Linked DNA regions of Arabidopsis thaliana. The protein of the gene in region 1 interacts with the protein of each later gene in a pairwise test. Each region holds a gene or a part of one and is shown in the gene's direction. Other genes may lie near its edges.

Region 1 (3,762 bases):
TGTAGTTTGATTGTTAATTTAAGAGTTTCACATGTAGTATACCATCTTGTATTAATATCGATCTAAACCCGTCAATTCTAGGATTTTTCAGCTTATATTAAAAATTGAATCACATCTAATATGTTATTAACTATTGTAATATATAAGATTATAAATTTTCAATATAATATGTATGAAATTGAATATGAATATTTCAAATTTATGTCCCCTTACTCAGTAGAAAGTTTTCTTAAATCTATTTTTCACCCGTTATAATATTATTTCATGTATTGAACAGTTTATATTTGTTTTTAAAAATTCAAATTATGGCATATGCGAAAAAACTCTAATTATTTTTTTATAATGATGATATTATTTTTCCGTATAAATAGAATCATATAAAGATGAGAAGTGAACTATAATAATTAATAAAAAATTAATATGATAATTTAGATACCAAATATAGTTTGTTGATTTTAATTGGTTACTTTTTTAGAAATTAATAATCTATTTCGTTTTTCTAATTAAATTAAATTAATTAAATTTAGATATCAAATCTTATATGTTGATTTTGATTGGCTATTATTTTTGGAAATTAATATTGTATTTCGTTTTTTAATTAATTTAATTAATTAAATTAGTATTTGACTTTTTAATCCTTAAAGAGATAAATTAATTTACTTTTTAAAATTTTATTTCTAATGGCATACCTATGTAATTACTTACAAAAATTAAGGTTATATTTAAAATGTACTTCCCAAATAATATAGTAGGATTGTCACTACGACTACGAGGGACACTTGCTAAATTTTCGGAATATTTTATCTTATGAATTAGAAGGAAAATTATTATGGAAGTTGTAATAAAACATGTACAACATTTTAAATATCATAGGTTTTTTATTACAAAAGTATTATATTTTAATAGTATATGGGAAAAACAATTGTCTCTTCAAAATTTATTCAAAATAAAAAAAAAATTAAACTATAGACGAATGAGCCTCGAAAACGCAATTCCTCAAACATTTTTTTTTACAATCTTATCCACCAACGTATGAGTCAAATCAAACAAATAGACACCTTAAAGTAAAGTATATACATAGTTCACTAATATTTTTGCTAGACGGTTAACCTCTTTATACATATACGAGATTCGAATTATCTACTCTGTAGATAAAATATATGATACAAACTTATCAAGAAAGACAATTGGGTTCGACTCACAAACTCTTGCCTTTAAGAATCCTACCACTAATTCCGCAGCTCTAGCCTCATCACTCTCTTCTCCCATGGGATATACAATTCATAGTAGACTTCCTACAACTTCGGTAAACGAGCCGAGTATACAATGTTTAGCGCACAATTTCCGCGGGAAATACAAAAAAGATTGTGATGTTAATGTGATGAATTTGTAATTAAACACACGATAAATTAGTGCAATGTGTAAAATATTTTATAAATTTGTGAGTAATGGGTAAAAAAAAAAGTAAAGAAGGAAGCAAAGTTCAGTTGGTGAATCATTTTGCTGGCCATTACTCTATAAGAGAGAGAGATCCTATCTCCATAAAATCCCATACCCTCAAACACACACACACTCACCATCCCACTAACTCGAATAGTTAACATGCGCACACCGATCCTTGGCCTTTCGTTGCTAAAATGAGCATGGTGCGTGATTCACCCGCTTACTTGCTCGATTTCTCCTTCACCCTTTTAAAAAGGAACGTCTTTTAGCTTACCTCTGCCTCCTTTACCCTCTCTCTCTCTCTATCTCTATCTCTGTTCTTTCCTTTTTCCGGCGAATTTCTGGGCTGAGATTGTTAGTGTCTCTGAGTGATGCAGAGATCAACTGTTGTAGTTAATCAATATCTTCTGACATAAGCTAAACTCGATTCTTTCTTACAATCTCTCTGTCTCTCTCTGCTTCCTTTTCTACTGTCTTCTTTCTTCTTCTCTAGCTTTTGAATTTTCAATATTGATTTCTCCCATGGCGAGTAGCAGTTGCAGCAGATCTATCTCTGTTTCAAATTCTGATTCTCTCGGTGTTTTTTGTTTGAGCTAGGGCTAAATTAGTTTCCTTCTTGGGTTTTTATTCGTAATCCGATTCAAAGTTTGTATCTTTGGGAGGGATGGGTAAGAGGCAAATATCACAAGATGAAGTAGGTCCGCCCATAAAACCAAGAGCTGGTTTACGAAGGGAACAAGCTGGAAGAGGTTCTTACAGAGGTAGTTAGTTACTTTGTATCTCATCGAAAACGAATCAAAAGAAGCTTCTTTTTTTTTTTATTAGAGGTTGGGGAGGAGATAGTATAAAACAACTGTTTAGAGTTCTGATTTGTGGTTTTTGAGTCCGGGGTTTTGAGGTTTACCCTTTAGAATGGGTTCTACTTCTCAAGAGATACTGAAGAGCTTTTGCTTTAACACGGACTGGGACTATGCTGTGTTCTGGCAACTTAATCATCGAGGATCTCGAATGTGAGTCATCTAAACAATTCTCTTTACTGTCTTTGCGTGGTGGATCATTATAATTGTCTACGAGTTAGAACTGTGGTAATTGATTTAGGTGTATTGACTTCAACTTGCTAGAGTGGAAATATGGAACCTTATATCGAAATGCAGCAGCTTTAAGTTAACAATTGTAGTTTAAGTGTCTGAAGATTGTTTCTGTACTTTTAAGTTTTGTGTGCAGTTCAGGATTCTATTTCTTTATATGTTTTAGTGTTTTAGTTGACCAGATAGTTTCTCAATTTTTTGAATAATGAACACCTGTAGGGTACTTACCTTGGAGGATGCTTACTATGACCATCATGGGACGAATATGCATGGAGCACATGACCCCCTTGGGTTAGCTGTGGCAAAGATGTCTTATCATGTCTATTCTCTAGGGGAAGGGTAAGAATATATTGCTCTGATTCACTCTTATCATGCCTATAGTTTGATGTGCCCTTTTTCCTTCTTTTTTTATTTGACAGTAGCCACATAATGCAAAGCTTTTGTTGTGTCCTTGAGCTTGATGTTAGCTTTTACAATAGTTAACAATCTTGGGTCTATTGTTGAATTATGTTATCATATCTATATAAACAGGATTGTAGGACAAGTTGCAGTTTCTGGAGAACACCAATGGGTATTTCCCGAAAATTATAACAACTGTAACTCAGCATTTGAGGTTAGGGACTTTCTATCTGAAATTAAATTTGTTTTCTTCGTGTTTTTAAACCAAATGTCTTTTTTTAATTACAGTTTCATAACGTTTGGGAAAGTCAAATTTCTGCTGGAATTAAGGTATTTGGATTTTTCTTTAGTGCTCTTTCTGTCTGCTTTATTATACATACTTGTCAAGAACATCCTCAAAGTTTGCCACTGGAGACTTTCCTTTTTAAAATATCTATTCTTCCTTCTCCGCAGACCATTCTTGTAGTAGCTGTTGGTCCATGTGGAGTTGTTCAGCTAGGCTCTTTGTGTAAAGTAAGTAAGATCTTAAAATTGGATGCGGTGTTCGCAGTTACAAAATAATAGCCAGGAAGAACACCTGCACACTTATAATAGATGGCACATATATACATATCTGGTCTTATTTTGTATTTGTTTGGAGCAGGTTAATGAAGATGTGAATTTTGTGAATCATATCCGACATTTATTTCTGGCACTTAGGGATCCATTGGCAGACCATGCAGCAAATTTAAGGCAATGTAATATGAACAATTCGTTATGTCTGGTAAAGATCTTCTTCATTCAAATATGGATTCATGTTTTTTCTAGATTTCTTGTTATTTGCAAAATGGGG
Region 2 (3,750 bases), on another chromosome or scaffold:
GGAAAGAGTGTCCTATCATCACATGGGAGGTTAAACTGGTTCTTATTTATAACTTCAAAATATTAAAACATAAATAGTCCCACCTTTGTGTGCTCATCAGCAAACATTTTTCTTTAATGTCCAATTTATCACACCATCTCCTTGTTTTCTAATACATATCATACATCTACTAATCATCATTCATTCATATCTTTTGCATATATCATCATCTTCATCATCATCATCACGTGTTTAGATCTAGCAAATGGTTTGTTGTTATTTATGACCAAAACAACATTACCATGTAGTATTTATATAAATCCTAAATAAAAATTGAAACTCACTGATACAATTAAAATTAAAGTATTTGTACAAAATTACATATTGACGAATGTTAGTTGGAAATCACCTGTCTAAGTTTTTTAGAACAAGTGCTCAAAGATATTGGGTTCGACAATTGATGAAATTCCACTTAGGCATTACATATAAATAAATATCGTAAGCATATACACTATCAATTGAGGTACACGTGATCGAGCTTGGACTAAAAGTGTAAGACTAGCCCCTCCCTATTGGCTAGGATAGATACCGTACGTTCCCTCAAATTGACCTAAGTCCATTGTTTTTGTTTACCCGTATCTATATAACTGAACCACAAAATCTTCTTGGTTTTACGCATCACAACGATCATAAAATAATGATATACTCATATAGGTATATCTTGAGTATATAGACAAGCTTTACACTAGCTTGTATAATAAGATAAATAGAGTGGTGATATTTTAATGTTGCATTGTTTCAGTACTTGAAATCAGAATCGTTTCCCACTTGAAAAATTAGTTTCTCTTTGATCATAGCATATCTAACAAGACATATTAGTCGAGCTTTTGGATAGTTGTCGTTTGGTCTTAAAAAATAATGATACATTCTCACAAACTCTCACCGTACCTCAAGGCTCAAGCAAAGCTAGGACATGCTATTAAGGAACTGTAACTACTATAGCTGATTATCACAAAGTCTCACCTCAATATATATAAAGATTTTAATGACTAGAATAATTATAAGTTTTGAGATAAATTATCAATGTATCCAAGTGAAAGTATTGTTTGGTATTTTCTGTCAATCTAGATATTCATTTGCGAATTCCTAATTGACGAAAAATAACAGATATTATAATGTTACTAATTAACAAAAAATAAATCTTTGAAAAGATTTACATCATTGAAATACTACAATATTAAAAATATAATAGCATTATAATATCGACAATACTTATAATACTCATATAATAATATAATAAGAAGATTTTAAATGTACATAATACAAATTATTGCAAAAAGATTTCCAGTAATAGATACTAAGTTCTACTAAAGTTTTTGAAACTTTTTAGGAAAAGCAAGATTTTGTTGGAGACTTTGGATTAATGTAATTTTCAAAAGAGAAGAAGATGGTTTTTTTTTTTCTGAATATAAGAAAATAGAAGATATATATCTATCTTCGGTGTATTTATTGTTGATAAATATGCTGTCTTTTTTTAAAGTAAATAGATAAAAGTTAGACAGACTTTTTTTTTGTCTTATGTATCTTTTTCTCTAGTTTTTTATAAATCAACTTTAAATTAATCATCAAATAATAGTAATATTAGACACATATATACATCACGATCTGATAAATTTGTAAATTCACGTGTCATGTATCCAAGACTCCAATTCTAAACCACTGTTCTCTCTTGTGCACTTGTCATCGGCATATCCAACACCCCTATTTAAGATTATTTGTATTACTCTCGCTCTCTCTCTCTCTCTCTATCTAGAAGTGGTCCTAGCTCTCTATATAACACCATTTCTTCTCCTTCTTTCTTCTCCCTTTCTTTCGACAAGCACAAACAAAGCCATCAAGAGAAGAAAGCCTTTTCTTGGATTCACATATATATAAGAATATTTTTTCAAATCAAACATGTCTTCTAGCAGAAGGTCGAGACAAGCAAGCTCATCATCAAGAATTAGCGATGACCAGATCACTGATCTCATCTCAAAGCTCCGACAGTCCATTCCGGAGATTCGCCAGAACCGTCGTTCCAACACGGTAAATCTTTTCAAAAGTTACTGTGTTTCTTCTATGTACCAAGGTTTTGGCATAGTCACATAAGTTTTACTTTGATGATATTTATTTAGGGTTAGCTATTATGTTTAATAGAGAATCACGCATATACAAGTATACAACATGTTAGAATAGTGCATTATAGTCATAGAAGTACGTGTGGGAGACTGCATTTTGAAGTTTCTAAAATTACTTTTGACCATTAACCGGACTTTGAGGAGAGGGGAACATATTTTCCCTAACTTCAGCATTAAGCTTCTAGTTAATTTTACTTTTATTATTGATTAACTACATTGAATGTGAGACGACTATATTGCTTCACGGACCATCAATTCAATACATTTATGTACAGCACCGACTAATTTTTATATTTGGTTTTCTTAGTTTCTATATAACAAGAAAAGTACGAACTCTAGAAAAATAAGAAAAAGCTGGTTTCTATAAATGGAAGCATCGTTTTCTTATAGTACACACAACCAATCAGATTTGTTCTCAATTTCAAAACAATGTGTTGGTTAAGTTATGAGCATTTTTATTTTTTTGATAAAGTATGGGCATTTTATCTTAAGCTTTAGGTTTAACTTTTAACCTATGCATAGTGTAGTATGTCAAGCAACTAGCGTCAATATATTTTCTTACATTATTAACACGCATCATAACTTCAAGCTAAGACTTGTTTCTGTTGTTGTTAAAGCAAGCTAAGACTTGTTTGAATATTTATATTGAATCCTTACTATAAAATGTACAATTGTGAAAATTGTTTGTAGGTATCAGCGTCGAAAGTGTTACAAGAGACTTGCAACTACATAAGAAACTTGAACAAGGAAGCCGATGACCTCAGTGATCGATTGACTCAGCTTCTGGAATCCATTGATCCTAATAGCCCACAAGCCGCAGTTATTAGGAGCTTGATTAATGGATAATTAAGATATAAATTGATTAGTTGTGCTTTATATATATAAGCTTAAAATCTCGTTGGGAGGTTGATCCATCAGGGTGTTGCATAATTATATATCTATTTTATGTTTCTTATATATTATTTACAATCCTATCTAGTTAGGGTTCATATTTTGACCCTTTTTTGGTTTAACGTCATGCATGCAATTCCATTAAGCTTAAAAATTATAATAAATAAGATTTCGAGTAATTATTTAATTTAAATCCTTTTATATTATATTGTAAGTGTGTCCATTTGTATGTGTGTTAATGCGTTATACAAATGGATATACTATATAAGTATATATGGCACCCAAGAGGTTAATTAATTTCAAAGTTAATTTAGACTTATCTTCGAAATAGATAGAAAAGTTGATTAATACTATCATTTAAAGCGTACATGATTATCAATTTTGCATGAAAACGTAATAGGATGACTCAAACCTACCAGACTCACATAAAAAATAATATCTCAACCATTATACCACTATACATTGTTACAAATTACAAACTACAGAATGAAACAAAATCTATATTTATTAGCTTCTCACATATTAAAAAAAATAAAAAATCCAACAAATGTTTTTGAAAACAGACCCATCGTGCATTATATTTGATAATAAAGATAACATTTACACTAGTTTGCTATAAAATTTAGTATTTAATTACCTACAATAATTTTACATATATATATATATATATATCTGTATAAAATTCCCTAAAATATTTGAAGGT
Region 3 (3,762 bases), on another chromosome or scaffold:
TAATTTTATTTTGTTTTTAATGAATAAATAGATCAATCTTGTCCTTTTTATTTATGGTCCTCTGTAAACAATGACAGCAACGATGGCAAATAAATAAAGTATTCAGAAGTTAAAATACACACATATATATAGATCAAGACCTATATCTTGTTGACAACGAAAACAAAGAAAGAAGATTAATAGATCAAATCCGAGTTAAAGCAAACATCTACCACATAATAAATGCAATGCAAAATCAACGAACTGAATCCAATCGACAATCAAATGCCTATCTCTGCATCTACCACATGCTACGTACTCAAAATCAGATTTTTATGGAAGGTATTAAAAAAATCAGAGTTGTCAACTGTAATTACATCCAAAACATGATCCGTAATTTGGCTTCAACATTTTTTGGTGTTTTCTTGTACCATATGTCCTACACTCTTTTCATGATATAGACCACCACACTAAAGAAAAATAATAATTAATCTTATAAATGACAGTGATTTTTTTTCTTTTCACGATCATGTATAGGATAACAATCATATTATTTTCAAAAATATTTGGATGTTACATTACATCAAAGGTCAAACATGGATGTGTGAAGAACAAACTTATACATGTTCCAAAACCATTGAATTTCCAAAAAAAATCAATGTAAAAGTTTGAAAGATACAAAAAAAATGGTAAAAAAGAGAGAAGTGATTAAAAAAAGGGACAATGAAGTAATACATATAACGTGGGGATGCAATGGTGGTACTGACAGAGAGAGAAGGCAAAGAGGGACAGTTTAGTTTGGCGATAAACACACATTTTGCCATTTTAAACCCCACTTGATCCCTCTTCTCCTTTCCATGGCCCTCCCCTCCTTTTCTACGTCCCTTTCCCAATTCTTATTTTAATTCTTTGTTTTTTTCTACTTGGATGCGTTGAGCCAAAAATGTTGCAATGAATTAATTCTACTTGGCCCGATTTTGGAAAGCTCTGTAGCTTTGTGGACTGACTTTGATTTGGTTTTGATTTCAGAGAGTGCGGATCAATCCATTGTTATACGTGTTTGGATTTTTTTTTGGGTTTAGCCAAAATCGAACCGAGTGACTTGACTTAAGCATAGTTGTATTTTTTATTATATATATTTTTTTTGGTCCCATCACTAGTCACTGAAAACCTCTACAATATCCCTTAAGATAGGTTCTAATCGTCGTATCATACGACTCGTATGAGACGATACAAACACTCTTTGGTAAAGTATCACTATTGGTTTAGCACTGGATCTTAGTTATTTGATACCCTTTCTATTTAGTTTCAAAATTTGAATTCTCCATGTCACATTCATTATACAAACGTTTTTTGTTGAACAAATTTTACATTCATTCATAAAAACAAAAGAATACATTATCACAAAACATATATAATAAGATAAATTATTAAATAGAATTTTTTTAAAATAGACATACAATAAGACTAGTCGTCTGATATAGACTCTGCACATTATACGGACTTACATTTGTAAACTCCATCAACTCTTATCCATCTATTGTTTAGTCATGTTCAATATTGAGAAAAATTAAAGGAAATTAACATGTAGCCTTTAAATTTTCAATAAAGGTCGTTAAGTTGAAGACTTGAAGTTGATACTACACCATGTGAATAGCTCGAAAGAAAGAAGGTTAAGTGGAACAGGAATAAGAGAAAGAGAGCAAGGAAAAAAACTTGACGTGGGTGAGTTTTACACATATAACAATCAAGAAGTTGTTCTCGTGGGAAAGTAAGTTTAGAAGCTTACCAAAAATAAACAGTATCTTTTTGTACTAAGCGACTATGAAAAAAACTGAGAACAAATAATAATAAATATTTGAAAGCTAAAGACACCCTTATTAAAGAAACATAACCCACACCCTCCCTCCATGCACTTGTCTCTTCTCCTTCTTATTCTTCTTCTTCTTCTTCTTGATCTTCTCTCTCTTCATAAATTTGCATTATAAAAACACATCCACTTTGCTCCTCCCTCTTCAACACCTTCTTCTCCACTCTCATTCTCTCTTTCTGACACATTAACTACTTATCCTTCTTGCATTCTTCTCTCTCTCTACACCCAAACAAACACACTTATAATATATCAAGAAAGAAGATGTCTAGCAGAAGATCATCACGTTCAAGACAGTCAGGAAGCTCAAGAATCTCTGACGATCAGATTTCCGATCTTGTTTCTAAGCTCCAACACCTCATCCCTGAACTTCGCCGCCGCCGTTCTGACAAGGTATACACTTCAAAATAACAAATTTTAATCTATCTTTCTTGCATATACATACTTATTTTGTATACTTGTATAACTTAGCCTGCACATGGACTTAGAAAGTTCAAATGAATAGGAACCATATAGTATATAATAACTAATTAATATGCATGGTGAAATCCAACGGCGTGTAGACATGTGGCCTACAATTAACTATACGTAGATAAAGTAACATTAATTCACAGCCTCATTTATGCATATATCTTGTTTGTTCTTTGAATGTTTTTTTGCAATTAAATTTTACAAGTTGGTGGTGTGGGACTCAGTTTGTTCCCTTCCTACTTCCACGTACCTTAACTACATGTCTCCCCATTACTCTTCTCTACCTATATACTCACCATAATTCTATATATAGCTGAGGAATATGATAAATAAATTGTGGCCGTTTATACCGTTGTGCACATTGAAGTGGCAATCATGAGAAAAAACTAAAGTTCTGTTAAAAGTTTGAAGATATATATGAAATTGTTACAAAGAAAGAAAAAAGGCAGTAGCACATGTTGTCACGTACTCTTTGTAAGGGATATAATGATCGTTTTTTGTACTTTAAAACTAATTGTAAAATGTTTAAACTATTGGACAGGTGTCAGCATCTAAGGTACTACAAGAGACTTGCAACTACATCAGGAACTTACACAGAGAGGTTGATGACCTCAGTGACCGTTTGTCGGAACTCTTGGCTTCGACGGACGACAACAGCGCCGAAGCAGCCATCATTAGGAGCTTGCTTAATTATTAAATCCGCATTACTTAATCTGAGAGCTATTAATCATCCGTTTCCGGCCACCAAATTTATCTTATTATGGGTATCGTCTGTTTACTTCTACATCATATATTATGAGATATAGCTAGGGTTTCGGGTCATTGTTAGGCCAACTCATATATTTATATTTAATATATGGTTATGTATGTATGTATGCATGTTAATTGTATCTGAGGGTCCAGACCTGGCGTATAGTAGCCTGTGTATCATGAGATCCTCTAATATTTATGATTAATGACACGGTCCGTTTCCTTTTTTACTATACTGATCTACTGTTATAAGTTTCGTTTATCATATCTTTTTCTATAATTAACAAGCTGAGGAGATTATCGGTGTATGCTCGAAATTTCTTAGTTGAAGAAATTAAGAACAATATATGTGTATGCCAAATAAATAAGTTATACTTGGAAGTATGTCAATACAATTTTATCAAAAAAAATAAAATGGTATGTATATACAATTTAAAAACGTGGAGAAGTTGTGTCTGAATTTAAATTGTTTAAAATATGATAGAAACAGACGAAGACCTCGATGTTTTCGAAGTCGTTTAGTTTGGATTATCTGTTTTTTAATGTTATCTGTAGTATATGGTATGGTCGTGCCATTTTATTTAAATCCTCTTGCATGTGATCATTAATGTGTTATCTTCGTCGTGTATATTATAACACGTATTGACTCGATAATTACGGTATTAGTGTGGTGTTATTAATGGAGTAGATAA

Evidence for each region.
Region 2: the proteins of CPUORF7 (region 1) and BNQ2 interact in a two-hybrid assay, tested with the Arabidopsis thaliana proteins (one large-scale study listed by BioGRID).
Region 3: the proteins of CPUORF7 (region 1) and KDR interact in a two-hybrid assay, tested with the Arabidopsis thaliana proteins (one large-scale study listed by BioGRID).

The regions. Positions count from the first base shown.
Region 1 is NC_003071.7:13,337,323-13,341,084, forward strand, and holds the start of CPUORF7 (transcription factor bHLH155-like protein), read left to right. Parts: upstream 1-1,764; 5' UTR 1,765-2,107; coding exon of another isoform or gene 2,108-2,204; 5' UTR 2,205-2,355; coding exon 2,356-2,453; intron 2,454-2,750; coding exon 2,751-2,870; intron 2,871-3,062; coding exon 3,063-3,144; intron 3,145-3,218; coding exon 3,219-3,260; intron 3,261-3,383; coding exon 3,384-3,443; intron 3,444-3,573; coding exon 3,574-3,693; intron 3,694-3,762. UniProt on the Arabidopsis thaliana protein: Transcription factor that may regulate root development.
Region 2 is NC_003076.8:4,920,739-4,924,488, reverse strand, and holds BNQ2 (BANQUO 2), read left to right. Parts: upstream 1-1,676; 5' UTR 1,677-1,935; coding exon 1,936-2,064; intron 2,065-2,846; coding exon 2,847-3,002; 3' UTR 3,003-3,246; downstream 3,247-3,750.
Region 3 is NC_003070.9:9,349,458-9,353,219, forward strand, and holds KDR (basic helix-loop-helix (bHLH) DNA-binding superfamily protein), read left to right. Parts: upstream 1-1,702; 5' UTR 1,703-2,113; coding exon 2,114-2,242; intron 2,243-2,861; coding exon 2,862-3,017; 3' UTR 3,018-3,376; downstream 3,377-3,762. UniProt on the Arabidopsis thaliana protein: Atypical and probable non DNA-binding bHLH transcription factor that regulates light-mediated responses in day light conditions by binding and inhibiting the activity of the bHLH transcription factor HFR1, a critical regulator of light signaling and shade avoidance.